Linked DNA regions of Cricetulus griseus. The protein of the gene in region 3 binds, or shares a complex with, the protein of the main gene of each other region. Links are inferred from orthologs where the notes say so. Each region holds a gene or a part of one and is shown on either strand. Other genes may lie near its edges. The genes, in order: Timm22, Agk, Timm10b and Timm10.

Region 1 (7,495 bases), on a different chromosome or scaffold from region 3:
TCTAGTCCAGGGGACCTGATGCCCTCCTCTGGCATCAGGCACACCTGTGGTACACAGACATACACATGCAGGCAAAACACCCATACAAATAAAAATAAGTAGCTTTTAAAAAGACAGAATAAGATTTTAACTGGTCCAAAATCTCTATAGAGTGCCAAGGATGAAAAAGCCTAACACAGACGGATATAAGCAAGTTTCCAGAACCGCATCAACACAGAAGCAGCCAGGATTTATTTGTCAGAGGGAAGAATATCAAGCATCCTTAGAACACTCATGTTGGGAAATGTCAACATCAGCACGTTGTCCTGGACCACAAAAGAAAAGCACTCGAGAGCTGTTTACTAACCTCTGAAACCAATGGCTCCTCCAGTGATGCAGCCGCTGATGACACTGTTCTTCCAGTCTGACTTTCCCCGGTACTGTGGGTGGAAAAATGCTGTTTAGAGCCAGGGAAACGAGCCAACAAGACTAGGGAAGAAAACACAGGGCTTCCAGCTGCCTAGTTTAGTTCTATTCAAGAGGAGAAAAAAACCTTACTTCAAAAGGGCAGTCCCGAAAATTTGTATGTGCTTATACGTGTTTCCTGCAGGTGGCACCAGAGGGCTGAAGTCAAGTCTAGCATTTGGGAAATAATCCAAATTTCTTATGTGCTCCAGTATAATTTTAAATCATTAACTACAATTACTTGGGTTGGAGATGTGGCCCAGTGGTAGAGCACATCCTCTATGCATAAAGCCTCAAGTTCAATCCCAGCACCAAATAAGAAAAAAAATCATTTTGCCTATAGAAGATTAAAAAAAAAAGCAAATCCCGTATTATAAATATGTACAAAGTTCACACTAGGGACTAATCTAGACCAAAATGTGATATTTTTAAATGTCTGCTTTGAGGCAAAGTTCTATGTAGCCCAGGTTGGCCCAGATCTCATGCTCCTCTTCTTCAGCTCCTTTGGGCTGAAGTTGTGAACACAGATCACATTTGACTAAGGCCTGACATTTCTAGTCTGCATTCCAGGAAGAACACTAAGAACACTGCTCTTTTCAAAGTTGTATAATGGAGGCTGATGGCTCAGTGGTTAAGAGCACTGGCTGCTCTTCCAGAAAGACTCTGGCTCAGTTCTCAGGACCCAAATGGCAGCTAACAACTGCCTGTAAATCCAGTCCCAAGGGATTAAATACCTTCTTCTGGTCTCCTCAAGCACCAGGCACTCACATGGTGCACATACATACATGCAGGCAAAATGCTCAGACACACAAATTTTGTGTGTGTGTGTGTGTGTGTGTGTGTGTGTGTTGTTTTGTTTTTTCTTTTTTCAAGACAGGGTTTCTCTGTGTAACAGCCCTAGCTGTCCTGGAACTAGCTCTGTAAACCAGGCTAGCCTTGAACTCAGACATCTGACATCCACCTGCCCCTGCCTCCCAAGTGCTGGGATTAAAGGTGTGTGCCACCATGGCTAGGCTCAGACAGGGATTTCTTAAAAGCAAGAGACACTTACAGATTCTACTAAACACTCAGTACACGAAAACATTGCGCCCACAATGGCAAAATTTTTGGCGTAGGACATTCCTCTTTGTCCCATGTCTTTCAGAACTTCTTTTGCAGTTGGTGTCCGGTAAGGGTCCTTAGGGTCAAAGCCTACATTGGTATCAATGCCGGCAGTAAAGATCCCAAACGCACCTCCCAAGACAAATCCTAGAAGCAAGCAGAGATAAGAGTTCTTTTGCACATTCTGGACTACCATTTTGGGATGATATTTTAAGATGGCTCAATCCTGCTTCCTCCAGTCAGAGTCTATCCCCCTGACTCTCCTAGGATTTCTTCCTTTCATTTCCCAGCCTTTGAGCTTTAACCCTCTGTTCTCTATAGACCAGTCACCCTCAAGTTCTTATCAACTTTGTGTATCATTCCCTTAACCATGCCAATATCTATAACAGTCTCTTGGTAGGCATTACCACATATTCTGAAATACTCTAGATTTCACAATAACTTGTGGCTGTTTTGTTTGTTTGACAGGACCTCACTATGGAGTCCTAACTGGCCTGGAACTTGCTATTGTAGAACAGGCTAGCTCAAACTCAAGAGATCCACCTGCCTCTACCTCCCAAGTTCTTGGATTAACAGCGTGTGTCACTACCACCCAGCTGTCCTCTCTAAACCAAAGCTAGAGAGGCTAAGTAACTGTGTCCAAAGTCGCATGGCTGTTATGTGGGAAATCCTAGGTTGCTGTCAACAAATGTCTTGTCTAAACCTTGAACATTTCTTTGTGTGGGTGTGGGTGTAGGCCAGAGTTCAATCCTGGGGTGTCACTACTCAGGAACCATCCACCTTTCTTTCTTTCTTTCTTTCTTTCTTTCTTTCTTTCTTTCTTTCTTTCTTTCTTTCGTTGTTTTCAAGACAGGGTTTCTCAGTGTAATAGCCCTAGCAGTCCCAGAACTTACTCTGTAGACCAGGCTGGCCTCAAACTCAGAGAGATCTACCTGCCTGTCTTTGGAGTGCTGGGGTTAAAATCAGGTGCCACTACCCCTGGCCACTTTTTTCTTTTTTAAAGAGGGTCTCTCAATGGACCTAGAGCTAACTGATTAGGCTAGGCTGGCTAGTAACTGAGCCCCAAGGATCTGTCTGCCTGTCTTCCCAGTAATGGGATTACAAGTCATTTTCAGGCCTGACATTTATCTATTTATCTATCTATCTGTCTGTCTGTCTGTCTATCTTTCTGAGACACAGCCTATATAGTCTGTCTGTGTAGGTGTCCTGGAGCTTGCTATGTAGACCAGGCTGGCCTCAAACTCAGATCCATCTGCCTCTCTAGTGCTGGGATTAGAGGCCTGGGCCACCTCACCCAGCCATACCTGGCTTTTTACAGGATGCTGGGTATTGAACTCAGATCCTCAAGCTTGCATGACAAGCACTTTATCAACTGCACTTTGTCCCCAGCCATTTCTGTATGGATGTCTTCTCATCACCTCAAGATGAATGTAATTTCAAAAAATAAAAAAAAATCAATGTAATTAATTTCAATGAAACTAGACTCTATCTCCCCTCTCCAAAATGTCTTGCTTTCCAATCACTCCAGCTCCAAAACTCTCTCTTCTTTGTAGTACATTTAAGGTTTGCTTTTTGTTTGGTCAGTTTTTTGTTTTGTTTTTGAAGACAGTGTCTCTATTATGTAACCCTGGCTGTCCTGGAATTCACTATATAGACCAGGTTGGCCTGGAACTCAGATCTGACTGCCTCTTCATCCTCAATTTTTAAGACTTGAACTCCTGCTATTTGGATTTCACAAATGTTTTTCATTCCCAATAAAATTTAAACTCATCCACAAATACAGTCAACCTTTTTACCTGCACACTGGAAGTGTGTGTATTTGTTTGTTTTTATGTTCTATCCTACCCCACCCCGACAGTCTAATTACAGTGGCCTTTTTTTTTTTTTTTTTTTTTTTTCCCCTTAGATAGGGTCTCTCTATGTAGAACTGGCTGTACTGGAACTCACTCTGTAGACCAGACTGGCCTCGAACTCACAGGGATCCATCTGCCTCTGCCTCCCGAGTGCTGGAATTAACTTCAAATTTCTCTGACTTGAGGACCTTTGCATTTGCAATTCCCTATGTGTCTACAGCACTCTTCTGCCCGGGTCCTAGAAATTCTCTATCAGGGCTCTTGTCACTTTCATCCATAGTCCCACTGCCTAACACACGACAGTTGCTTAGTTTGTGAATGAATGAATGAATGAATGAATGAATGAATGAATGAATGAATGAACGAAAGCATCCACTTAACAATCTGCAGGCCCTGACCGTAGTTTAACTGATTCTCGAACGTTCCAGCTCCCAACTGTGAATGTTAACCCCAGGATCAAGAGCGGCATCTTCGGGTTCATTGAGCCAGTCGGGGAGCAATCAAGGTCGAGACCCACAGGTCCTTCGCCTCCCAGGCGCGTGGTCTTGGCAAGGAACCCCAAGGCCCTCCAAGCCCTCAGCCTCCCAAGGGTCCCACGAGCCTCGCCTCACCTCCCACGCAGGCTAGCACAGCCTTGAAGGCGCAACTTTCCATCGCCCTCTCGATCATCTTCTGCTCCTCGCTCTTGGAGGGACTCGGGATCCCGCCCAGGCTGCCAGGCTCCAGGAGCCGGGGCTGACGCTTGTCGCCCACCAGGTACTGCAGAAGAAGGCTGTATTGCAGCGGAGCTTCGGCGGAAGTCGCCGACTCCGCAGCTGAAGCCCCGGCACTGGGGGCAGTAGCCGCCATGACCGTAAGGGACCCAGAACCTTAAGCGTCGTACTTGCCACAGCCGATTCCACATGCTTCCCTAGGTGTCTAGCCATAGTGCCGCAGCGGCAGATTCGCCACAATGAGGAAGCGGCGGAAGCAAAAGTCGGCCTGTGCATCAGCGTCAAGGCAGCTATAATGTTCCCCCCAAAGCCTCCTGTAAACACCGAGTCAAGTTTGTAAGGCATTGCTAAAAGCACTGACAAACAAGATTCGGGGTCTCCAGAACACCCCCCTCAACGAGGTAGCTCCAGTGCGGCGCGTGCCGGGATTTGTAGTTCTAACTCAAACATCTAACTACATTTCCCAGAAAGCTATGCGCGAACTAACCCTACGGCTTCCTCAGAAGCTCTTCTGAGAAGCGAACCAAGGCAGGCCCGGCTCTGGCTAGGCTGCAGTTTGTGACGTATCCAGCAGAAGGCGTGCGTGTCCGCTTTGTTGCCCCGCCAAGTGACAGTGATCATGCTGCCTCAGTCAGCTAGGACTACAGGCTGGTTGGTATTCTAAGATCAAATAATGGTAATAAGCAAATGTTGAAACATGGCGTGAAGATGTTCAATAGACATTTTATTATATAGTTAAACCTTTGAGGAGAAAGAAGGGCCAATAAATGAGCTGGGTGGTGGTGGCTCATGTAATTTCAGCAGAGGCAGGTAGATCTCTGAGTTCGAGGCCAGCCTGGTCTGCAGCGTGAGTTCCAGGACACCCAGAGCTACACAGAGAAACTCCGTCTTGAAAAAACAAAATATATAAATATATAAATAAATATTGGGAATTGTGGTAGTTGTGATTCTGAGTCAGACCAGGCTGGCAATTTATTTGTCTCTCTTAGCTAAGCGAAACACTCATGAAAAGAAAAATCATTACAGATGCACGTTTGGTGTCTAAAATCCTCTTTGTTCTTGTTTCTGCCCTCACCAGGCCACCAAGCACGCTAAGTTTCCAGTGGTTGGTTGGTTGGTTTGGTTTGGTTTGGTTTTTCAAGTCAGGGTTTCTCTGAGAAACAGTCCTGGCTGTCCCGAAACTCCTTTTGTAGACCAAACTGGCCTTGAACTCACAGATTCCCCACCACCACATGGCTCTCCAGTGGTTTCTTAGCTGTCAATCATTTTTTCTAAACTTCTCAGCTGCATGTGACACAGGGACCCCTCTCTCCTTTGATTTTTTTTTTTAAATTATTTATTTATTATGTATACAGTCTTCTGCCTGCATGCCAGCAGAGGGCACCAGATCTCATTCAAGGTGGTTGTGAGCCACCATGTGGTTGCCGGGAATTCAACTCAGGACCTCTGGTGGAATAGTCTGTGCTCTTAACCGCTGAGCCATCTCTCCAGCCCTCCTTTGATGTTTTATCAGTACTTTTTTTTTTTTTTTTTTGAAAGATTACAGTGTGTGTGTGTGTGTGCTGTGTGTGTGTGTGTGTGTGTGTGTGTGTGTGTGTGTGTGTGTGTGTTTGTGTGTGTGTATAGGTGCCCATGGAGGCTAGAAAAGAGCATCAGATCACCTGGAGCTGGAATTTGGGTGGGTTTGAGCCAGTGGTTGTAAGGCATCGGATTCGTGCTGGGAAGTGAATTTGGTGGAGGAACGGCAAGTCCTCTTACCTGCTGTGCAGTCTCTCCAGCCTGATTTCTTCCCTCCGATTGTGCTTTCTCTCCCACTTTTGCCGCAGCCTCCCCAGTTACACTTCTTTGTAATCAACTTTGAGGCTCTGCTATTGTTCTTCCTGGTTCCATCCATCCTCTGTTGATTAATATTTAGTCACTTCTAAACAAAGGTGACCCAGGACTCCAGTTCAGGCTAAGATTTTAAGAGTCAGAGTTGGAGCTGGGTGGCAAGGGCGCACACCTTTAATCCCAGCACTCGGGAGGCAGAGGCAAGTGAATCTCTGTGAGTTCAAGGCCAGCCTGATCTACAGAGCAAGTTCCAGGACAACCAGGACTGTTACACAGAGAAACCATGTCTTGAAAAACAGACAAAAAGAAAGGAAGAGAGAGAGAGAGAGAGAGAGAGAGAGAGAGAGAGAGAGAGAGAGAGAGAGAGAGAGGAAGGAAGGAAGGAAGGAAGGAAGGAAGAAAGGAAGAAAGGAAGAAAGGAAGAAAGAGAAAGAAAAGAGTCAAAGTTGGATCCAGGAGAAGTTGAGGCAGTCTCCCAGGCCTTGAGAAGCAGAGAATGTTCTAAAGAGCTAATCAGGAGTAGAGTTCTTACCTATCATGCCTGGGCCATGGGTTCAGTCTCCAGAACTAAAACATAAATAAAATAAAATGCCAATCCAGCAATCCATTTAAAGCCCAACAGTAAAATCCCGAAGGAAGGGTCAGGGAGAACCCAAGCCACCAGGAGCCATCAGATGGAGAAACTCCCTATGGACCAAGCTCAGAAGGGAGTAAGTCTTTTGTAGAACTACCCTTAGCCAAGATCATAGATGGGGAGCCGTTAGACTGATCTGCTATCTCCTTCTCCCATCACTATCCAACGGTGGAATAGGTTTCATCTGATGGAAAACTTGAGCCTCTGCCAAGTATACCCCAAATGGGAGAAATTATTTCCTATATTTACTTACCTATGGGACATCTGGGGACTTCATCCGACTGTAACCTGGTTGTGATCCCAGCAACTGTCAGGTTCTTCCCCCTCTCCTCACATTGTCTGTTCTGGCCACAAGAGCTAGGCTCTTATCACCATGGGTCAGAGTGAACCAGTGAAAGTTAGAGATGACTTAGATTTACAGGGAAGGTTGTAACACTGAGCTGATGACAACTCTTCTGTCAGAAGACTCAAGATAGCAGCTCAGGGGTCATGTGCTGAATTAGAAGAAAGCCTAATTATGGCTTCCCCGGTATCTGTAAGACCCTAGCTGGTCTGTAGCTCTCTTGGGTGCTGTCTGCTGCTGGAGCTGAGGAAGAAAAGAAACAGCTCAAGTTAGGATGGAATGAGAAAGTCTAAGCTGGACTAGCAGTGGTGGTGCACGCTATTAATCCCAGCACTCAGGAGGCAGAAGCAGGTGGATCTGTGAGTTTGAGGACAGCCTGGTCTACAGATAGAGTTCATGCTTTAAAAGGGGAAGGTGAGGGAGAGAGAGAAAGTCCAAGCTGAGCGCAGAGTTTTGCATATGGGTGTGAGTTGCATATGGCTATAGTAGCCATGGAAAGTTTCAAAGTCCTCTGGCAGGTAGAAGGTATGTGCCAGCAGATGCTGCTTAGCTCACTGATTTGTTGTAGATAAGCAGA
Region 2 (7,482 bases), on a different chromosome or scaffold from region 3:
CTTCCAATGATTTCGGAGTGTTTTGAAGAACGCAGTCATCTTCTCCTACAGATTTAATAGGCAGGGAAAGAAAAGAGACTTACCCACGATAATCATGGAGCATGCTATTATTCATTCCTCTATGGTTTCCCCCAACCCACCCCCTTTTCCTTTTCTCTTTTTCTCTTTGCCACGTCTGCTGTGGTTCTTCTCGTCTTTTCCTGTCTAAGTCTCATTATCAGGTCTTCAATATGAAAATTAGCAAAGAACATGCATTAAAAAAACCCAATGCACATGGCTAAGTAAAAATGCTCACTAATCAAAGACATGCAAATTACAAAGAGCTATTATTATTTTTATATAAAATTAAATTTTATATTATCATAGTCACTGATAACAAAATACAAAAAGAAAGATATTCTTGCCTATTCCTGTAAGGAATATTTTTTATTTTTTTATTTTTTTCTTTTTTTTTTTTGGTTTATTGAAACACGGTTTCTCTGTGTAGCTTTGGAGCCTATCCTGGCTCTCGGTCTGTAGACCAGGCTCACAAGAGATCCACCTGCCTCTGCCTCTGCCTCCGGAGTACTGGGATTAAAGGCAATGGCCTTTAACCCCAGCTTGGTCTACAAGAGCTAGTTCCAGGACAGCCTCCAAAGCCACTGAGAAACCCTGTCTCAAAACTGCTCCCCCCACAAAAAAAAGAAAAGAAAAAAATCTCAAAATACAATGTAAGTAAAATTAGCAGGATAAAAGACATCTATAATCAGTGTTATACCAATTATGTTCAAATAGGACTATCAATCAAAATACCGATACACAAAAGCGAAAGTTTTACATAATTCCCTCTAAATTGTAGGCTGGTAAATGACATCTTAAAATTACAACATATATGCACATATATGCAATGTTAAGTTTTTACTTACATTATTATCTAAACAGATGAAAAAATTATTTCTTCCTTTAACTTCCCTTGGTTAAAATCCCTCCCCTAGGAAGAAACATCCACATTGCAGACATCAATGAAGAAGCCATTCAGACTAGTACAGAAGACCCAAAGGCCCATGGAATTATTGACTTCTCTCCATCTGGCCCTAGACACTCATTCACAAGGTCTTTGATAGACAGCACCTGCCCTGTGTTAAGAGCTAGGGCAGGGAAGAGGGAAGCCTCACTCTCAGATGCTCAGAATCAGTAAATCCCCAAGTGCAATATGACCACATGAGCCAGGTCGCAGGACAGTCAGATAAATGTTCAGGGGTAAAGACATGGGCCTAACTGGGCTGGACCTGAGGGACCCAGAGAACCCTACAGATTCAGAGGAGTCACAAAGGGAAGGAGTTAGGAATATGCCATGGCCTGAGCATTTGTGTTTCCAAACTTGTAAGTGGCAGTTCTAATTCCAACTGGACTGCTATTAGGATGTAGAAATAATGGGGCTATAAGGGTGTTGTCCCCATGAACAGGATTAGCAACTCTCTAAGAAGAAGACACCAAATCTGGTGTTGGTGGCCCATGCCTTTAATCCCAGCACTCTTGAGGCAGAGGCAGGCAGATCTCTGTGAGTTCGAGGCCAGCCTGGTCTACAAGAGCAAGTGCCAGGATAGGCTCCAAAGCTACACAGAGAAACCCTGTCTCAAAACAACGAGGAAAAAAAAAAAAAAAAAAACACCTTCAGAAATAAAATCCAGTGTATGTTAAATTTGATGAAGAGTGGAAAGTTGTACAGAAACATGACTGAACAAGGTGCTGTGACTTAAAGACAATAATCACCAAGGTCTTATTTGTTCAGGTCCTTCAGTATCCCCTCACCTTAAGAAATAAAAGTGCTCATTTCCTGCATGCATAAGACAGGCACTTCTAACATGAGGGCCTTATACCGGAAGCCCGATTCAGGTTAGAACATCAACAGTTTCCTGCTTCTACTGTTTCCTCAACTGCCAATGTACTTCTATGGGGATTAACATGCCCTAAGCACCATCAAGAGAGCATAAATACAGGATAGCTTCTAGAACACTGGCTCTCAACCTTTAGGGTCCTTATTAGACCTTATTCGAATGCACAAAATTTGCTGGAAATATATATGCTTGGCTATTACCTCTCCAAAGCCCCCTGTGTTTTTAGTTAACAGTTACTTCCATAATTGTACGTGATAAACATAGCAGACTTTGAGAAATAGTAATTTAAAGATAAAAGATGGGGGTAACAGGAAGATTTGAAAATACTTTGAGTTGCTGGGTGTTGGTGGTACACGCCTTTAATCCCAGCACTTGGGAGGCAGAGACAGGCGGATCTCTGTGAGTTCGAGGCCAGCTTGATCTACAGAGCAAATGCCAGGATAGCCTCCAAAGCTATACAGAGAACCCCGTCTTGAAAAAACAGAAAGAAAGAAAGAAAGAAAGAAAGAAAGAAAGAAAGAAAGAAAGGAAGGAAGGAAGGAAGGAAGGAAGGAAGGAAGGAAGGAAGAATACTTGGAGTCCAAACCAAGGGCTTTGGATATTATGAAGACAATGAAAAGAGAGAGAGAACTTGAGATTTTTTTTTTAGCAGACAAATGACATAATCATATTTGAGCTGCAGAATATAAAACACACTGCTAGAACCTGAAAGTAACTCTGAAGAGAACCATGGTGGCAGGGAAGGGGGGTGGGTGCCACAATTTCTAGGCTACTAAAAGGAGGAACAAGAGTCAACAAAGGATTTGGAGGTCTTGGTCTGGCAGTGCTTGGTGACCAGCTGATTCCAAGGGGTAAGAGATGAGGAGACAAGCCAGGTTTTGTGCTTGGGCAACGTGATTTCACGCCTTTGATTGATATTGCAGGTTTGTGGGAAAACAGAGTGCAGCTAAAGAGACTCTAGCCTGTTACACCCGCCAGGCACACTCAAGTGGAGGCCAAACAGGTGTCTGGACTTGGCTGTTTGGAAATAGGAGAAATTGAAGACAAGTTACAGAATTGCGGCTCATACCTGTGAAGGTAAAGTGTGAGAGCTGCTAAAACTACCCAAGTAGAGGAGACCGGGAAGAACACTTGTTAAGTCAAGGGCACTCTGAGTGGACTGTCTTTTAAAAAGCCTCCCTTACCCCATGAAACTCCCTTTTTTTTTGTCATAAATGATTCATATATAATTAAAAGACGAGGGAAATGCACAAACACCCTGGTGTGCAAGGTGCCTGAACTAAATCCTAGCTTCTGTCCCTTACAGGTAAGTGAGACCCTGGGTAAGTCGATTAACTTCACTAGTAAAACGAGGAAACACCATCTGCCCCAAATACTTAATCTGGCTGTGAAGATCAGCTATGACGGGGTTGTGAATAAAATCCGTAATTTTTTCCGTATTTAAGCTATCTTCACGAATACGTACTACACGAACAGTTATCTATTTCCTACCCAGTGGCCAGAATTTTCATTCTCATGAGCGTCAGTTTAAAAAATGTCTCCATTTTACGTTTAAATAGCACAGCTCTGCCTGTAAAGCAGGTGGTCCCCAGCCCCATAAGCTCCCAGATTCTAACTGCAGCCTCCCTCCTGCCAAGGAAGGTGAGGCTCTGCCCACTAAAGCAGAGCTCCCTGGGGCAGCTTCTAGCCATCTCCATTAGCAGAGCCCAGTGAGTGAGTGAGTGAGTGAATGAATGAATGAATGAGCGAGCCGACCCGCCCATCAAGTACCATGGATTGTATTGCTGTTCCGGGGTACCCCACCGTCCAGGTGGGTGGGGGGCGCCTGACTGGGATGGGGGGGCAGGGATGAGGCTCAGCTCTGGGACTCGAACTAGCACACCTGGCTCGCAGGGACCCCGCCCGGGCCCCCCTCCCGCCCACGCCGCAGCCAGCAACGGTACGGCCGACCCCCGGGCGCCAGGCCGGTTCCCGGGACACCCTGCTCGGCTACGCCCCACGCCCGGGCCCCACACGCCCAGCGGCCCGCGCTCGCTCCCCGAACTCACCGCTGCCCGCCGCCCCGCGCCCGGCCTTCCTGTGTGCTCTCTCGAAACCCTTCCCCGCTGGAGGGAAACCGCTACTGCCGCCCTCGGGTTCCGACGCGGGGCGGGCGGGGCCGGGCGGAGCCCTGCAGGGACCTGGGAGCAGCCGCCGCTCTCCCTTCTCTTACCTCCCCTGTCTCTCACTTAGGGGGTCATTCCATCCATCCATCCATCTATCCATCCTTCCTTCCTTCCTTCTGCCTGTTGCCAGCCCATCGTTTCCGCAAAGCTCACCATAAATAACACACACAATTTTTTAGCATTTGGGACTAAGTCAGAAAGTAATCACGGGAACCAGACAGGTTCAGACGGTGGTAATAAAACCAGTTGATAGGGAGTGTGATAGGAAGTGTGGCCAGGGAGGGGACTGTGTTAAATGAAAAAACGAAAGTCTGAGCTCCCCAAGATCAGGAAGAAGAGGATCTATCTGGTCAGGATGTACAAAAGAGAGAGCAGGGCAGAGAGGAATCAAGCTCAGAATCAGAGGAGCACTAGACCCGAGAGAGAGAGAGAGAGAGAGAGAGAGAGAGAGAGAGAGAGAGAGAGAGAGAGAGAGGGAGGGAGGGAGGAGGAGGGAGGGAGGGAGGGAGGGGGAGGGAGGGAGAGGGAGAGAGAGGAGAGAGACACACAGAGAGACAGAGAGAGAGAAACAGGGAGAGCAAAGAAGGAGCACTAGGCCAGTGTGAGATCTGAGAGAAAGAGAGACAGAGACACAGAGACAGAGAGAGACAGAGACACAGAGAGAGAGAGCCAGGGAGAGCAACGAAGCAGGAGAGGTGTGGAACACAAAAAAAAATGTGTCTCCTCAAAATATAAAGACTACTGAGCTGAAGAGAAGGGGCACATAGATGCAGGGCAGCTTTCCTGCGTTCCCTCTGTTTGCCTTAGACCAAGGCATTTGTAAAGAATTTGTATCTGCATGGCCATGGCTGTCTGGCAATGAGAACAGTTGTGATTTACTCACCCAAGATCATCACCAGATCCGACCCATTGGCATGTGATCCCCAGTGGCCTGCCTCTTCCACAGCCTATACAAGCACGTTAAGGTTGCTCGGGCCAGAGGGTCTGAGGAGTGTTGAGGGGACAGCAACTTCAGTGGTGTTGCCTCCTGTGTGTTGCCCGTGTTCCTGCAGGCCACCCCTCACCCATGCTGCTCTAAGTAACTGCAATCAATTTCATCGTTCACAAATCTAGACTTCAGTGGAATCATTTCTTTTGAGTCTGTCCTTGTCACCCCATCTGGAGAGAATCATTTGCTGCTGTCTCCCTAGGGAAAGTCAACAGGAAGTGAATTTATTCTGAGCCAAATATGAATGGCCATAGTTTTGGGAGACAGATTCAAGTTGCCCTGAATGGCATGTTCCACCATGGAAGAGGTTAGTTGAACATTTATAATCACAGAATAAAATAAAGTCATAATTTAGGATGTCTGATGGGGGAAGTGCTTCTGTGTATGCGTTTGTCTTATTGGATGATAAATAAAGTACTGTTTGGCCAATGAGGCAACAAGTTAGGCGGGATTAGGAGTCAAGGAGGATTCTGGGAAGTGGTGATCCAGGCAGGAAGTGACATAGCAGAGAGACTCATATATAAGTAAGGGCAAGAAGGAAGTCGTTCCCTTCTCTCTTCCTCCTTCTCTCTGCTCTGAGCCACCATGTGGTCCTGGGATGAGGACACCAGTGGAAGGCGTCTTACATAAAATAAGTCTTATAAAATATATATTTATGATAATTAAGACTGAGCTAGCAGATGAGAATCCTAGTCATTGGCCAAGGAGCATTTGTACCTAATATAAGTCTCTCTGTGTTACTTGGGACCTTAATGTGGGCTTGGTGCGTGCTCTTCCTTCCCTGTGTTCTTTGATCAGTATCAAATCACTAAAAGAAGTTCTCAAAGAGCAGGAAAATTATTCCTTGGAAGCTGCTGGAAGTGGTGATGGGTTTTAAGAACATCATGCTAGGTGAAATAAGCCAGTCCAAGACTGCATGTTATATGACTGTGCACACACGACACATCCAGAACTAGAAAACACGTAGGGATGGAAAAGGATTTGATGGTGGGGTGGGGCATTGAGAAGTGACTGTTTTCAATATGGATATAGAGGAAAATGGTCTCAATATGGACGTGGTGCTGGCTACACAGCTCTGTGGCTATATTAACACTAGCGAATCACAAACTTTAAACGGGTGAAATGCAAAAAAAGAAAAGGAAAGAAGAGCAGAGAAAGGAAAACAGATGGTTCTGGGGCTGGAGAGATGTCTCAGTGGTTAAGCACACCCAGACTTGTTTCCCCAGCACTGATACAGTGGTTCACAGCCACCTGTAACTGCTGCTCCAAGGATCTGACATTCTCTTTTGGCCTCTATGGGCACTAGTCACACACACAGTGCACATATGTGCAAGCAGGCGAACAATCATACACACAAAATAAAAAAGAATCTTAAAAAAGACGGTCCCACATTTTGCTCCACAAATCATAAATATCTATACAATGTCAGAAACTGATGCCATCATCACTCATCCACGAAGGGAGCCGGCCTGAGCCAGAGCCACTTCACAGAGGATCAGAGAAGAAAGAACCAGGATCCTCAATGATGTCATGGAACCAAGTGGCCAGTCTGTGAGGGGATTGTGCCAAAATTCTATACACCCTAGTATGCAAAATAATGAATTCTATTTAGATTGAAGGCAGGATCCATGAGCACCAATCGACAGCTTATAAACCACAGGCTGTTGGTGGCCAGAGTGAGGACAAGTAGAGGCTTTAAGGTAAGAAATAAGTGAAAAATCAGTGGCAGAAATAGCTGTCAGACACCAGAGTTCTGCTTAACCTTCTACTGTTCTTGACTCACTCTCCAGTCATTTTGATTGTTCCCGGACCTGGGCTGTGCTCATTTCCATAGATGCTTTATCAGTGATGGGGAAGAGTTCCAGGAAAAAGGTGTTGGGATGCGTGTGTGCCTGTTGGTAGACTTTCCTGTATCTCTTTGGATGAATGCTGTAGTGGGAGCAGATGCTCCCCAGTGTCAGTGCTTCTTATCATGGAAAATGTGAGCAAATTCTTTTAACATTCACTTCGGGTTATTTACTCACTTAATGTACACAGATACTTCTTTAGACTCTGTGTTTCCTGCAAAAAAAAAAAATGAAGCATGTTCTTGTGGTATTTATGCTTAAAATCCTTTCCTTATTATGACCTTTAATATCCACTGAATCTACAGCTACCAGATTGGAAATATGTAAATGAGGCCTTTCAAGAAACCAATGGCTTCCTAGGAGACAGAATATTTTCCATATCATTGCATGGGAGTTTTGGAGAACCCTCTGTGAAGCTCCTTGTCACCTGTGTCTACCAAAGCTCTTTCTTTTCTTCTGATGGTTCCTTGTTTTAATTCGTCTCCTTGTCATCCTGTCCATCTCTTCCCCACGTCACTTGGACCCCAGCTGGCAATTGCAGCTGCCTGTTCTGTATGACAGTTTAAAAGGACAAAGACCAGATCCAGGATGAAGCAGAGCCTATG
Region 3 (7,444 bases):
TTGGAAGCATTCAAGTAGGAAATGAGGAAGACTCAACACCCAAGAATGGGCACTAGCATTAGATAAGAGGGTTTCTCCCTATTTAGAAGGGAAAGGGAATGATGCAGATGGGCTAGTCAGCAGTAGAATACTAGAGATTACCTACAGCTTTGTTTTCCTCATGGAGGAATAATATGGCTGACAGAAAGAAAACAGGGCCAAGAGGGTTACAAACACCAACTTAAAATAGTTACTTAGGGGAGCAGAAAAAACCAGAGAATCACTGAATGTGGTGGTGCGTACCTTCAATTCCAGCACTTGAGAGGCAGAGGCAGGAAGATCTCAGAAGTTCTAGGCCAGTCAGGGCTACAGAGTGATAACCTGCTCAAACTGTAACACACACACACACTTGTGTGTGAGAGCTAAGATTCCATTTGAACTTAACTACGAATTCAAAGTGGCATAAATATGCTCTATGGTGATCTCGCTGAGTAACATTTAACTATTCAAATGCAGACAATGTTTCATAAGGGGGCAGGGCACAAAAATATCAGCTTATAGCAAGAAAACCATTGGGGGTTAAGCTGGCTAGAAATTTAAAGGCAAGTGTTACTGAGGGAAAAAAAATATTAAAGCTACAAAAAAATCTAATGATAGTAGGGACAGTGACTTACTAAACCAAGCAGAAGGAATATGGTTAGTCAATTCAAGAAATAGTGTTTTGTCACTTGATTTAGTAATAGTATTTTGAAGATTGAGTGGTTTAGAATGATGACAATATCTAAGACACAACTAAATGGATAGCTAAGACAGAATAGAAACCATTAGATATTGGATCAAGAAATTAAGTGATCCTAACTACTGAATGGACCGTGTAAACATCAAAGCATTAACTGGTGGATAGGAAGTACAAGAGCTATTTAGAGGGGAGGCAAAGAAGAGTTGATGCGAACAGTAAAACAGGTAGAGGACTTTATGGATGAACAGCTTTAAATCAATAGACTGGGCCAAGGAACAGGCAGTGAAGTTCTAAAGTCACAATGACAGGACCACCACCTCAGCCTCCAATGTTTGTGATGTGGTAAGGCTATGTCAAAGGTAACCTCTGGGCCGGGGATGTAGGTCAATGGTAGAGCCCTTTGTTAGTGTGTAGAAAACCCTGAATTTGACCTCTCACAATCCCCCCACCCCTCTACCCCCCCCAAAACAAACCAAAACCAAAAAAAATCCCAAACTTTTCTTGTATATTGTGCCTAAGAATACTGCTCTCACCATGCCAATGACTATCACTTTATGACAAGACCCGAAAAAGACCAGCAACTATAGAAAGTGAGACAGTAGGAATGGGTTTTCTCTTAAGGAGAGAAACCAGAGCAGAGACTAAAGGGAGAAAAGGACTGACAGGTCAGATTGAGGCACATTTGTTTTTGATCTGAAGGCAGACTGTGCAAAGATGATAGTGTATGTAGGTTGAGTGTGGGGAGCACACATGTGATCACATGTGTGCTCCCCACACTCAGGAAGTAAAAAGCCAGAAGGATTTGAATTCAAGGTGAGACTGCACAGTAAAACCATCTAAAAAAAAAAAAAAAAAAGTTCAGGTAGTTCCAAAGAGAGTGGGCTTTGAATAGATCTGTTTCTTAGTCTTTTCCCAGCAATTACTAACCATGTGACATGGGAAGAAAGGAAACACAGACAATTCACAGTACGTGTTTTATTGAAAGGATACATAAACTGATGCAGAAGAACTCTCCCAGCAGCAACACAATATCCTGGGTCTCCACCTTCCTGTCTCTGGAAATGAAGAAGCTCACATGATGCATTCCTTACATTTATACTTGTCAAAGAGTGAATTCTGTCAGGAAGACCTGAGGTCACTCTATAGGGAAGCTCCTTGTCAGCAATTTTTATCTTCCTAAAGAATTATCTAGCAACCGTTGTAGCCCATGTCTGTAATCTCAGTACCTGGGAGGCTGAGACAAGAGGATCTCAAGTTTAAGGCCAATAGACCCCATGGCAAAATCACCTAAAATAAAAAAACAAAAAGGGAAAAGCAGTGACACACTAGAATCTGTTTTCAAAGAACTGTGTATAAGACAGAGCTCTCATGCATTCTGGGTTCTTTTTTACCTGTTAAATGGAAATAATATCTCCTAGGCTTGCAATAAAATGAATAAATAAGATAAATTTATGCAACATACTCAACAGACATGATTTTGAGAGGCAGCCTGCTGTAGTAAAAAGAATATGGGGCTTACCGCCCCACTGCACTTTATTAATAGGGTCTTGATATGCTGCCTTCAAACACAAAATTCGCAATCTGTGAAGTGCTGGGCTTGTAGGCATGCATAACAAGGCTTAGAGCAAGAGCTGTGTTTTAACACGAAGCCCACTATTTCAATTTTTTGGCTGGCCAGCTCTTGGGCAGTAGAGGCAGGAGGATCAGGAGTTCAGGGTCATCTTTAGTTATTATGATTTACATGTCAGTTTTGAGACCTCCCTCCCCAATCTCAAAAATAAAAAAGTAAAATGCATATTTATGACCTGTAGGTGTGTGTGTGGGGGGGGGATCTGCTTTGTAAATAGTTGATTTTGGCTGGGATTTTAAAATTTAATTCCTTGGTAAAAAAGGAAAGCTGTTGCCATACGTGAAAGGATGGGATGGGATTAAGCAATGAAGAGGTAATGGGTAGCTTAGGTTGTTAAGAGTCCCTGCCTGGCATGCACAAGCCCTTGAGTTGAACCCCCAGTAAAACAACAATAACAAATGCACATCCCATACTGTTGCTTGCCCTGCATCCTGCCATTATCCTTGAAGCCCCACATGGTAGTATATGCCATTTCCTCCTTCCTTCCTTGTCCTCATACTGGAGATGACATCACGGAAAAGGCAGGGCCAGGAAAGGAGGTATCCTCCTGAATACAGATGTGAACCCCACAAAATGAGGGGGCAGTAACAAAACAAGAATAGAGAGGCTGGATCAGTTACGGTTGAGAACAATGTAAGATGGAAGGTAGAGAGCTGGAATTAGGAGATTCCAGACAAACAGTGAAACACTAAGGAAGCATTAGGAGCCACACAGATTATATTTAACCACCCCTCTATCACCATCTACCTTTCCCTTTGATTTCTCTTCTTTAGATTTGACTAATGTAGGCCTTCTGACTTGCCTTGAAGACAAGAAGAAAACCCTTCTTTGTTTAAAGTCCTTATTGCTGATTTCACAAAGACAGGAAATATTTAAGATGGTAAACTGGGGAAATGATTGAAATTCTAGACAATATTCCCACATTCTTACAGGCTTATCTTTGATCTCCTAAGAATTGGTGGCTAAAGCCTATTGTGGTGCTGTTTTCTTCTTCCTCTTGTTGTCTGATATCACATTCTTCCCCTAGATGCAGCACAATTCTTTTTGTATTACAGCTCAGAAGAAAACTAGTTATTATGCAATATATATTCAGGCATTTGAGTTAGGCTCAAGGATAGCCACTGAGAGCTCCCCTTTTGGAACCAATTTCCCATTGCTATTACTAACCTTAAAACTATGTTTTTGCTGGGGATCTGAGAATGCTGAGTTTGTCCTACTACATTACAGAAGGCAATTTCTCAACTGCCAGGGCTGAGGGGAGAAGATAGGCACTAAATGGCAGAATAAAGGTTGGTACCAATAAGTGGACATAAATAAATTCCTGCCCAGAAAATCAACCAGAGTAAAAACCCGGTTTATTGGCTCCAAGAAAAGGAGCAATAGTGCCCAGCTTTCAGGCTCAATCTTTCTGTACAAATTTCGACAAGCCCAAGGTTCATAGAGGAGCCCATCCAAGCACCTTCTCTCCTGGGGCAGGCGATGGCTAGCTGCCTGATGGCGAGTCTCTGGGTTGTTCTGCAGTAACACCTGGCACGGCCGAGGCAGCCTCGTAGTCCGCGATGCGGCGCTGGACAAGGGCGGGCATGAGGTGGACGTAAGCGGCCATGAGGCGGTGGTTAGAATGGATGAGCTTCCCAGCACAGCTGTGTAGACAGGCCTCCTGGAAGGAAGACAGAGGTAAGCAGAGACCAAAAGGGGTCCTGTCAAGCCCTCCTCTCCGGGGCCCCAGCCTAGGGGTGAGGTCATGGGAGACCGAGATGCAAACGGGGGGTGGGAGGTGGACACGTCACGTTGTCAACCTCTGGGGTCCCCACAGTCCCCACCTCCTCAGCGTCCAGAGCTCGGTGGTGCAGGCTGGGCACACAGCGCTGGAAGCACAGTTCTGTCATCCGATTGTAGACCAACAGGAAATCTCGCAACTAAGAGAAAAGCGGATCAAGGCTTCACCACCGCTGAGGGTTCCTGGCGTGCGCAGTGCAGCCTGCCTTCCCCACTGGGGGTTCTTGCATGTACCCCAGAAAACAAACCGCACGTCTAACCCCGAGAACAACTTAGCTCTTACTCACGTTTCTTAGTTGCTGCTGCTGCTGCTCCATCACGCTCGGGGCACGCAGCCCACTTTACTTCCTCCCTGGGGGCGCGGAGTCACCCCGGAAGTAAATTCTCCCTAGTCACCAAGAGCTTCAAGGCGTGGTTCCAGTATCGCCCAGCCCATGTCTGCTAACGTCACCTCCGCCCTTTTGCTCTGCGACGTGGCCGGCTTCTTCTGCCCAGAGGGCACGTCACTTCCGCCGAATCTCTGACCTGCTGCTAAGATCGCGACGGGAACTGGAACCCGAGGTCCCCGCGCGGTCCGGCCCTCGCGCCCTGAGGGGAAGAGTGGCCCGGCCCAGGTGAGAAGGACATACTTGTACGAAAGGAAGTTGAATGCACGAACCTGTGCGGAGGGCAAGATGCCCTGAGCCCTTGGCAAGGATGAGGACACACCTGATGCCCAGGTGTGTGGGGGGGTGGTGGAGGGGACCTCTCACATCTGGAAGGCATAAACTGACTTTGGAAGGGACTGCCTGTGTCCTGGGAAAGAAGCTTTTAACTGACACCGGGAACACACCAGCTGCTTCAACTAAGGCCTGGTGGGGAGGGCCTGAGGGAGGCAGGTGCATGAGATGGAGAAAGGAGAGACCATTTGAAGGAAGAGGGGAAGGAACATCAAAGGATTTGAAAGACCAGGGATTGCAGAGCATGCTTGAGTGGCAAGTGAGCATCCGAGTCTAGGAAAGGGTTTTGCCTTCTGGTAAACATGCCTATGCAGGGCCAAGTTCCCAAAGAGCACAGACATTCCCCTCTGGCCCTCACTGCTGTAATCCCATTGCCTCAGTATCTGACGCATAGTAGGCACTCACTAAGTGTTTGTTGAGTGACTGAATGTGTAAAGGTTACTAAAGGTGAGGTTGGGGTTTGTGAGAAGACACCCAAGGCTTTGGTATACATGCATCTGTAGAAATAATGTACTTGGAAGAGAAGAAATACACATCTCCAGGAAAGTAGGGGCTGATCTCCAGGGACACCCAAGTCCTAACAGACAACCCCTGAAACCTATTAGAACACAGGGAAGGCCTCCTTGTTCTGGAGTGCTGGCCAGTTTCCAGAATTGTCTGTGTTGGGCTTTACAGCGTGCTGGGGTGGAGACCTTGACTCCAGTACCTTCCCTAGCCATGACGGACGGGATCCTAGGGAAGGCAGCCACAATGGAGATCCCAATCCATGGAAATGGTGAAGCTGGGCAGCTTCCTGAAGACGATGGGCTGGAGCAGGTGCTTCTGTTTGATTCTTCTAATTGTTTCAATTTAGCAATCCTGACTCTTGAATGTTTCGCTTTTCCCATCCCAATAGACTTCATTTAGTTAGTCCTCCTTATAGTTTTCAAGTCGTCATTATGATTCTATACAGACTTTACTATATACTGTCTCTATCCCCAAAATATTTCAGCCACCCCCATGTTCCTGAAGTGCCCCCTCTTCTCTGATCTATAGGACCTCCAGCAGGTGATGGTGTCAGGACCCAACCTCAATGAAACTAGCATTGTGTCTGGTGGCTATGGGGGCTCTGGTGATGGACTCATCCCCACAGGTATGAATGATAAGAGACAGGAGGCTTGAGTGGGAGGGAGACTAGGAGGCACATAGAACACATAGGAAAGCGTGAATCATGGATTGGAGAAACTTGAGAACTGCTAGTGTGAAATCCATAGACTGTCCAATCCCAGATCAGCTCTCTGAGCTCATCATCTGCTTCCCACTTGCCATTTAGATTCTAGCTTTCTCAATTGTCTTTTCTTTCCCTGGTGCCACCACCTGAGCCAAGTTAAGACCTATAAGTCACAAGAGCTCTGCAGCTTAAGGCTGATTTACAACTTTGTGAAGCTTCTCAGAGTTTTATAAGAGTCTTATACTGACTAAAATTCTACTTGGAAATACAAACCAGCTTCCCTGTTTTCTGTGCCCACCAGCTTTGACCCTTCCAGTCCCACTCATCATGTTTGCTTCTGTTTCTTCCTTCCCTGTCCACCCAACAACACTCCTACACGACCCCAGGAATGCCAAATACATACATTGAGTTGCTTTGGTTTTCGGGACCTAAGTCCCCGTTCCCCCTAATGAGCAGAAGAATTCAGTTATCTAGATTTCCTCTTTTAGAGAGGTCATTTCATGTGCTGGGAGGGAAGGAAGTGAGGTCACAGAAGTATCTGATTGTATGTGAGAGAAATTGGTGTTAGAGAACTTGATCCTTTAGGGTCTGGCCGCCATCCATCTCACAGCACCTCACCTTCTGGCCCTGGTGATGAGGTGGCCCGGGGCATCGCCGGAGAGAAGTTTGACATCGTCAAGAAATGGGGCATCAACACATATAAGGTAAGAGTCGAGTGCCTCTTCCCAGAAACTCTCCATGGGTACCTTTTCCTTTTCCCCAGATCTTAATACATAGTCTTTTGCTATGACTAAGAGAATGGGGGTGTTGGAGTAGTTACTTGTCGGGGTTGGGGTGGAGTTTAGATTTCTGACCTCCCACCCACTTCCCAATCAGTGCACAAAGCAGCTGTTATCAGAGAGATTTGGCCGAGGCTCCCGGACTGTGGATCTGGAGCTAGAGCTGCAGATTGAGTTGCTGCGTGAGACGAAGCGCAAGTATGAAAGTGTCCTTCAGCTGGGCCGGGCACTGACAGCCCACCTCTACAGCCTGTTGCAGACCCAGCATGCACTAGGGGATGCCTTTGCTGACCTCAGCCAGAAGTCCCCAGAGCTTCAGGTGCCTCAGCCAAAACAAAGAGGGTGGGGGTACTGGGCCCTGGCCCTTCCAGGCAGGCATTCCTCAGCCTCCCTCCCTCCCTCCTGCAGCCCCCAGGGAGAACCCCTCTGGGGTGTGCCCAGTCCTGCCCCCAGCATCACTCACCTATGGAGGCAGCCTAAGGGTTTGTACAGAGGTCCAAAAGTTGGAGGGGTTGTGGGAGAGGGCGCTCTGGTGCCTCACAAGTAACCCTTCTCCATATCATCAAGAATGCCTTTGGTGCTTGGCCTAATCAGAGTCCCTCCCCTGCC
Region 4 (7,363 bases), on a different chromosome or scaffold from region 3:
TCTCACTTCCCATCAAATCTAGCAAATTATTAAGTATTTGATGCATTTCAGATACTTTTCTAAGTGTTTGAGTTATTATTTCACAATTACCCAAGGAGGCAGGTAGGACCATACTGCAATTTCTACAGGTAAGATAATGGAAGCAGTTAAATGACTCTCAGGTCTTGCAGCTAGAAAACCTCAGCCAAGACCCAAACCCATTTGGGTCTGCACTGGTAAGCTGACCAGTCTCTGCCTCTACAGCCCTTCCTCCAACCCAGACACCTCTATCATGAATGTCACTTTCAGTGTCAACAAGTGCCTTCTAGAATAACCCACACATCATGAAAGCTGCACTCCTCCAAGAGCCTCCTCAGACAGAAGTAGGGCTTGGCCTCTTCTCAGTCAGATTGGCCTCCCCACTGCTCTACTGTGTAACCTGCAGCAAGCAGCTGCCTCTCAGAACCTGTTTCTGGCCTTCAGTCTTGGATACCAAGAAGTAACTGGGGGGCAGTCTGAATCACTGTCCATGATGCTCACCTGCCCCAGGCATTGACAATGCTATCTAGAGCAGAGCCTGGCTACTTCCTTCCTAAACTCTATCCACTATCACTTCCCCTAAATCATTTCAATACAGAATATGCATAGAAATAACTGCTTGTCTCCACTTAATATCAAATTTAAAAAAAAAAAATTAGTGCTTCCTACCGGAGTCACTCTACTAAAGCACAGAGATGCGTCACATTCAGGGTCACACAGCAAGCGGGACACCCAGAACAGAAACCTACTGATTTTACTAGTCTACAGTCCTAAAACAAACACAAAGACCCACCACATCAAAATCTGTCTACTGTTCAAGACTCTAGCTCAGTCATTACTATCAAATACAAAAGACACTGCTTTGCACAAATTTGTTTTAATACAGATATATACATATACACACATACACAGTCACAAACCAGCGTGACAAGTCCCCTTCTTTAGCCAGGAGAGCTCTACCACACCCAGGGGTCCTGGAGATGCTCCAGAGAGCCTAAGTATGACAGTTTTCACATATGATACCCACTAGGGAACACTTTAATAAGGTATGTGGCAAGGTGCACCCCAGGTGAATTCTGCGTGGGGCCTCATGCAGGTCCAGAGCTCTGCTGTACCCTCTTCATCAGCTCTTCATCCTGCATAGACAACTCTGTCAACTTTTTGCCCATCCTCTCATGGATATCCAAGTACTTAGATACACATCGGTCCAGGCACACAGATTCGCCTTTGGACAGCTCTGCTTCCTTGTAGTGGGGAGGCACACACTTCCGGTGGCAGGCACTGGTCATTCTGGGATTAGAGAGGGACAAGATTGTATCAGTAACTTCCTGTGACATCCCAGGACCCATCAACAACTCCAACCCTGCTCTACTGATCTGGCCTCACCGCCTCTCCCAAGAAAACAGTGGAAATCCTGTTTTCACTTCAACTACCTTGGAAGGTTCTTTAGATTAAGAACCTTGTTTAAGTCAGGCAGTGGTGGCGCATGCCTTTAATCCCAGCAGAGGCAGAGGCAAGCTGATCTCTGTGAGTTTGAGGCCAGCCTGGTCTACAAAGCGAGTTCTAGGACAGTCAGGGCTGTTACACAGAGAAACCCTGTCTCGAAAAAAAAAAACAAATATAATAATAATAATTGTAATTGGTGACCTCCAAGATAAATCAACCAACAAAAAGAGCTTCTGCTGACTAAAACCAGCAGGTGTCTCACTGTTTCCTGAATGATATGCTTGATGCTAAAGGCTTCCATGTTCAATATTAGTAATGTCTTCATGAAGTAGTGTTTATTATGTCAGTTTTATTGATGATACAATCAATTATGAGACAGTTTGTCCAAAGATATTCAGCAGGTGACTGGTGCACCAGGATTTGTTTCCAAACTGGCCAAACAGCTACAATCAATAGTTGTGAGATCAGTCTGAAGAATTGGTTCTGACATTGCTACTGACCAGTTATGAATGCTGACATTACTAAATCCTTTGATACCTCAATTCCCTGATGTTAAAATGGCACTAATAAAATTAACCCACTGATTTTAATTTATTTCCTTTTTTTTTTTTCAGACTCATGCCATCTATCCCAGGCTGGCCTCAAACTCACTATGTGGCCAAGGATGACCTTGAACTATTGATCCTCTGTCCTTCATCTCTGAGTGCTGAAAGTACAAGCACCACATCAGTATCAAGGCAAGGGCTTCTTGCATTCTAGCAAAGCACCCTGCCAAAAGTTAGGTCCTCTTCTCCCAGTGAGTATTTTTAATATTAAAAAATAATATGTGGGGCTGGAGAGATGGCTCAGAGGTTAAGAGTACCGACTGCTCTTCCAGAGGTCCTGAGTTCAATTCCCAGCAACTACATGGTGGCTCACAATCATCCCTTATGAGATCTGGTGCCCTCTTCTGGTGTGCAGATATACATGGAAGCAGAATGTTGTATACATAATAAATAAATAAATCTTTAAAAAAAACACATTAAAAAAATAAAAATAAAATGTGACAATGGGGGTACTAGACAGATGGCTTCCTGGTTAAGAGAACTTACTGGTCTTGCAGAAGACCTGGGTTTGGTTCCCAGAACCCACATGGTAACTCAAAAATTGTCTGTTACTCCAGTTCCAATGGATCTGATGCCCTCTTTGGCCTCTTCAGGCATGTGGTATACATACATACATACATACATACATACATACATGCAAGCAAAATATCCACACATATAAACTAAAAACAAAGAAACTTGAAAAAAACAATTTAAAAATGGTAATATATGTAAAATGTTTTGCTAGTGCCTAACACAAAGTTTAATGAAGGCCAGATGTGCACAACTTTAATCCTCAGGACCCAAGTGGGAGAGGCTGATGATCTTTGTGAATTCAAGGCCAGCCTGGTATACATAGCAGGTTCCAGGCTAGCCAGGATTACATCATGAGACCCTGTCTCAAAAAAATAAAATAAATAAAATAAATCAAACAAACAAAAGACAAAAGCTTAAAGAATATTAGAGGTTGCCAAGCCAGATCTTTAGAGTCCATTTCGGCCGGCAATGGTGGCGCATGCCTTTAATCCCAGCACTCGGGAGACAGAGGCAGGCAGATGTCTGCGAATTCGAGACCAGCCTGGTCTATCAATCGAGTTCCAGGACAGGCTCTAAAAAAATACTGAGAAACCCTGTCTCAAAAAAACAAAAACAAACAAAAAAGAGTCCAGTTCCTGAGACCCATACATTGGAAGGAAAGATGGGCTCCTATTAAGTTGTTCTCCGACCTACACTAGTGTGCTGCTGTGACAGACAGGGTGGCACTCATAAACAACCACAAAATACATAAACAAAAGTAATTAAATGGGCTGTTTTGGGGGTTTTTTTTTGTTTTTTGGGTTTTTTTTTTTTTTTTTTTTTGGTTTTTTCAAGACATGGTTTCTCTGTGGCTTTGGAGGATGTCCTGGAACTAGCTCTTGTAGACCAGGGCGGTCTCGAACTCAGAGATCCGCCTGCTTCTGCCTCCCGAGTGCTGAGATTAATGGCGTGCGCCACCAATGCCCGGCTTGTTTTTGTTTTTGTTTTTTAAATTAATACTACCTGTTCTTGAAACTCACCAGATACTAACAGGAGATTCTCCTTCATGCCCCTCTTACTCCCCCTAAATAGCCAAGTCCTTCTAGTGACTTGTATTTGGTTTAGCCTAGCACATGGTGAGCGTGGGGCAGAGGGTGAGGGCTGGGACTTGGCTCCACTCCCTAAAGGAAAGCATTCCTTACAAGTCCTTGACTCCGTCATGGTAAGGGTGACTCGGGCTAATCTTCCAACACTCGGTATCGTGGAGTGGTTCTCATTACCTGTTGTACATGTCAGCCATCATCTCCACCTCCAGCTCCGCAGCCAGCTGCTGGGCTCTAAGCGGATCCATGTCAACCTAGCACCGTGCAGAGCAGCCTCCTGGTCTTTCCTAGGAGCAGACAAGATCGTCAGCACCGACCCCTCCCTCTTCACCCTAACGTCCCGGGGCTGGAGGACAGCGTTTCTGACCAGCAGGGACCACCGCCCTCAGTAAACGTAATCAGCCCTCGTAACAGAAGTGGAAATAAGGCCTTTACAGGGGACAGTGCCCAGCTCAAGGTCACTCAGGATGTCACGGGCACGGGCCCGGAGACTGGACCGCTCGGTTCCTCCACGTCGCTCCCAGCCAGAGGATCGACGCCAGGGACACAACACTCGAAACCGTGGGCCTGGCCCGCGCGGCCCTGAGAACCCGACCCTCACCACAACCGAAGCTCCCGGAGCCGGCCCAAAGGCTGCGCCCGTCATGTCGATGCCATCATCGGGGTCACTCGGGGTCAGACACCGTGACTCACTCACCACGGCCTGGGGCAGGTCACAGATCCCTCGAGGTCCGCAACTTCGGGTCAATAGTAAAAAGTTGCCGGGTACCCAGCTGGAAGAAATAAGAAGCACGTGGGTCACATCCGGGATGGAAGTCCAACCTCTTCTTTGATCCGGAAGAAAACGCCTACCCGGCGGCGCTGGGAAATCCGCTACCATAGAGATGGGGCCACCGCCTGGCCGAAGCGAAAACGACTTCAGTTTGCTAGAGCGTCCTCCAAAGTGCCACAGAGGCCTGAGTGAGGGGCGGAGCGCCGGCAGCCCCGTTAGCTTTCTGTTCCTTGGGCTGTCCGGGAGATGTTTTGAGTGTTTGGGGTGTGGAAGGGGCTTGGCTTCCTGAACGCACTAAGGAGGGCCCACGTCCGAGCTCAGATAGTTCTTGTGTGAAGAAGGGGGAATCTTTCCCAAAGGAGCCTGTCAGTGTTGCATGTTAAAATCACTCGGAGCCCCAGCACTCGGGAGGCAGAGGCAGGCGGATCTCTGTGAGTTCCAGGCCAGCCTGGTCTACAGAGCTAGTTCCAGGACAGCCTCCAAAGCCACAGAGAAACCATGTCTCAACACCTCCCCCCCCAAAAAAAAGAAAACACAGTCTAATGAACATCAATATAGCTATCACCAGGATTTAACGTTTATTAAAATTTAGCCACATTTTCTTTATCTGTTGTCTTTAACGATGAAGTCTTTTCCCCCAATTTCTATTTTCACATCTTCAGCTAATAGTGATTTTTTCCCCCTGTCTTTTTTACACCTCTCATTGGGTATACTTTTTTAGATTTATTCGTAAAAGTATGTGCCATGGGCCCATGTAGAAGTCAAAGGACAACCTGTGGGAGCTGATTCTGTTCTTCCACTGAAGGGATCTGACCCTCACCCAGCCCCCTGCTTTGAGCTGCATGACAGGCTGCAGAAAAGAACCTGCAAGATGTAGCCTCTGACTCAGCACATGTTGCTTAGATTCCGGCCTTCTGACCATGCTGGAACTGCCCTAGTCACTAGGAGGTCAGATACCCTCCACGTGGCAAGGAACCAATCAGAAGTTAGCTGGAGGGCTCTAGGCTTTGTGGTGCTTTATAGTAAAAGAGGTATAACAGTGCCATGCAGAGCATAGCAACCACCCTGGGAGGGCCTATAGGCCATAACAACCAGTTGACCAACACAGGACAGGTTACCCAAGCCTGGAAGCCCATTGCTTAGTTCTAGACATTCCCCTTGCACACTTCCCCCCAACTTGGTTTCTCTGGGTCCTTCTTACTCCACCTGATGTGATGAACCCACAAAGGGCCAGAGTTAAGACAATTAACTTGTTAAACAATAAAAGACTCTTTGCTTTTGCATTGGAATGGGTCTCTTGGTGATTTGGGGCTTCAGAATTTGGGCACAACACCACCACATAGGTCCAGAGCCATCAAGCCCAAGTTGTCAAGTGCCATGGTAATCGTCCTTACCTTTAAGCCATCTTAACAGCCCAATTATTTCTTAATGTAATCTATGGCAGATTTTAAAAATTAGCTATCTTTCTATGTTGTATGTGGGGCAGTGCACACATCATACATGTGAAAGTCAGAGGATAACCTCAGGCTTCCATCTTTAACTTGCACCATGTTTGACAAAGGGGCTCTTGTGTTTGGGCTACTTATGCCAGGCTAGCTGGCTTGAAAGCTTCCAGGGGTTTGCCTATCTCTGCCTCCTATCTCACTGTAGGGGTCCTGGGCTTGGGGACCCATCCTGCATCTCTGCTGTTACATGGGTCCTGGGATCTTAACTTGGGGTGTTACTATTGCAGAGCAAGGTCTTTACCCACCTGAGCTATTTTCCCAGCCCTATTGCAAATATTTCTCCAACCCCTCAAAAGAGTATTTTTAATTGTAATTAGAACATTTTATAAGGATTCAGGCATTATGCTGGCCTGCCCCTGTCACCTGGCAGAATGCACTCAGGCAGTACCCTGGTCAGCCCAGGGTTCCGTGGTTCCGTAGTCTGCATGCAGGTGCAAAGGACCCCTTTAAAAGAAGACCCCTGCCCATGTATGTGTGCTCTCTCCCTCTCTCCCTTTCTCCCTCTCCCTCTCTCTCTCTCTCTGGGCAGACAGGACTTTTCCTGTCAACCTCTTCTCTTCTGTCCTCTCTCTGTGTCTCTTTCCCCCTTTTCTCGTCCCCCCTTTCATTTCTAATAAAACTTCTCACTAAGCTTTATCTGCCTGGCATGTTTGTCCCCCACCTCAGTCACCCTTACCAGCCATGGAATCCGCCAAGGTTCTCCGTGCACTTTATCATAACACATTTAACATAAGACACTTATTTGTCCAGTATAGTATTGCTATTTATATGCACTGCATTGCACAGAAGACCTCTAGAATATATTAATCAATCTATTCCAATCCTCACAGAAAGGTTCTGTATTTGTCACTCACTCTGGGACAGTACTACCTCTTTGGATGGGACTCCAGCCCCAAAGAAAGGAATGCAGGATCTCCTCATTGGGACCTGCCACTCATAAAAGACTCCGAGAGAGCAAAGATAGATATCTCCCTGGACTGTCCTGAGAGGAGCAGGAGGTGAGAGACTATCCCATTAACTTAAGTAGAAAGCCTACCCAGATTTCACCACTGTCTCCATTGTGGCTGTTCCCCATCACTTCTACTTGCCTCTATTGATGACTCTCTGGCCCAGACCATCACAAACTGTACTGAATCACCAAGGTAGTAAGTAGTCTCCTGGCTCTTCTCCCTACTCCTGCTGATATTTCAGTCTGACTGTTCTCAAAACAGCAGCTAACATGATATAAAAAACTAAAATTAGATCATGTCACTCACCTCCTAAATACTACAGTGGTTTCTAATCATAGAGCAAAAGCCGAAGTCTTCTCAATAGCTAAGATTCTGTATGACCTTTTTTCCTTGGTGTGATCTGTTACCTGAGAACAGCAGCCTAAAGGACGAAGGGTTTACCTTGGCTTTCAGTTCAGGAGATAAACTC

Evidence for each region.
Region 1: Timm10b (region 3) and Timm22 share a complex: the UniProt entries of both Homo sapiens proteins name them as parts of the TIM22 complex. The link is inferred for Cricetulus griseus from reciprocal best matches to the Homo sapiens genes TIMM10B and TIMM22.
Region 2: Timm10b (region 3) and Agk share a complex: the UniProt entries of both Homo sapiens proteins name them as parts of the TIM22 complex. The link is inferred for Cricetulus griseus from reciprocal best matches to the Homo sapiens genes TIMM10B and AGK.
Region 4: the proteins of Timm10b (region 3) and Timm10 are in contact, whole or in part, in a cryo-EM structure (PDB 7CGP), measured with the Homo sapiens proteins. The link is inferred for Cricetulus griseus from reciprocal best matches to the Homo sapiens genes TIMM10B and TIMM10. Residues at the interface, in NP_036324.1 of Homo sapiens: Gln7, Leu11, Leu14, Arg15, Phe17, Leu18, Leu19, Tyr21, Asn22, Arg23, Met24, Thr25, Glu26, Cys28, Phe29, Val33, Pro34, Ser35, Leu36, His37, His38, Arg39, Leu41, Glu46, Leu49, His50, Ala53, Gly54, Ile57, His61; in NP_036588.1 of Homo sapiens: Ala6, Leu9, Leu13, Glu16, Met17, Asp20, Met21, Arg24, Ala28, Lys32, Cys50, Asp52, Arg53, Cys54, Ser56, Lys57, Tyr58, Asp60, Ile61, His62, Glu63, Arg64, Met65, Gly66, Lys68, Leu69, Leu72, Asp76.

Annotation. Positions count from the first base shown.
Region 1 is NC_048600.1:89,853,395-89,860,889, reverse strand, and holds the start of Timm22 (mitochondrial import inner membrane translocase subunit Tim22), read right to left. Parts: upstream 4,287-7,495; 5' UTR 4,248-4,286; coding exon 4,010-4,247; intron 1,693-4,009; coding exon 1,496-1,692; intron 420-1,495; coding exon 347-419; intron 1-346. UniProt on the Homo sapiens protein: Essential core component of the TIM22 complex, a complex that mediates the import and insertion of multi-pass transmembrane proteins into the mitochondrial inner membrane. In the TIM22 complex, it constitutes the voltage-activated and signal-gated channel.
Region 2 is NW_023276806.1:187,841,004-187,848,485, forward strand, and holds the start of Agk (acylglycerol kinase, mitochondrial), read right to left. Parts: upstream 4,048-7,482; 5' UTR 3,926-4,047; intron 971-3,925; exon of another isoform or gene 906-970; intron 46-905; 5' UTR 40-45; coding exon 1-39. UniProt on the Homo sapiens protein: Lipid kinase that can phosphorylate both monoacylglycerol and diacylglycerol to form lysophosphatidic acid (LPA) and phosphatidic acid (PA), respectively. Does not phosphorylate sphingosine. Phosphorylates ceramide.
Region 3 is NC_048596.1:94,060,009-94,067,452, forward strand, and holds Timm10b (mitochondrial import inner membrane translocase subunit Tim10 B), read right to left. Parts: upstream 4,551-7,444; 5' UTR 4,445-4,550; coding exon 4,415-4,444; intron 4,268-4,414; coding exon 4,172-4,267; intron 4,009-4,171; coding exon 3,832-4,008; 3' UTR 3,808-3,831; intron 2,006-3,807; exon of another isoform or gene 1,774-2,005; 3' UTR 1,679-1,773; downstream 1-1,678. Other genes in the region: Arfip2 (arfaptin-2), read left to right, coding at 5,564-5,662, 5,882-5,978, 6,642-6,760, 6,933-7,154. UniProt on the Homo sapiens protein: Component of the TIM22 complex, a complex that mediates the import and insertion of multi-pass transmembrane proteins into the mitochondrial inner membrane.
Region 4 is NC_048599.1:90,701,077-90,708,439, forward strand, and holds Timm10 (mitochondrial import inner membrane translocase subunit Tim10), read right to left. Parts: upstream 4,516-7,363; 5' UTR 4,365-4,515; exon of another isoform or gene 4,269-4,364; intron 4,217-4,268; exon of another isoform or gene 4,103-4,216; intron 3,955-4,102; 5' UTR 3,916-3,954; coding exon 3,845-3,915; intron 1,309-3,844; coding exon 1,107-1,308; 3' UTR 877-1,106; downstream 1-876.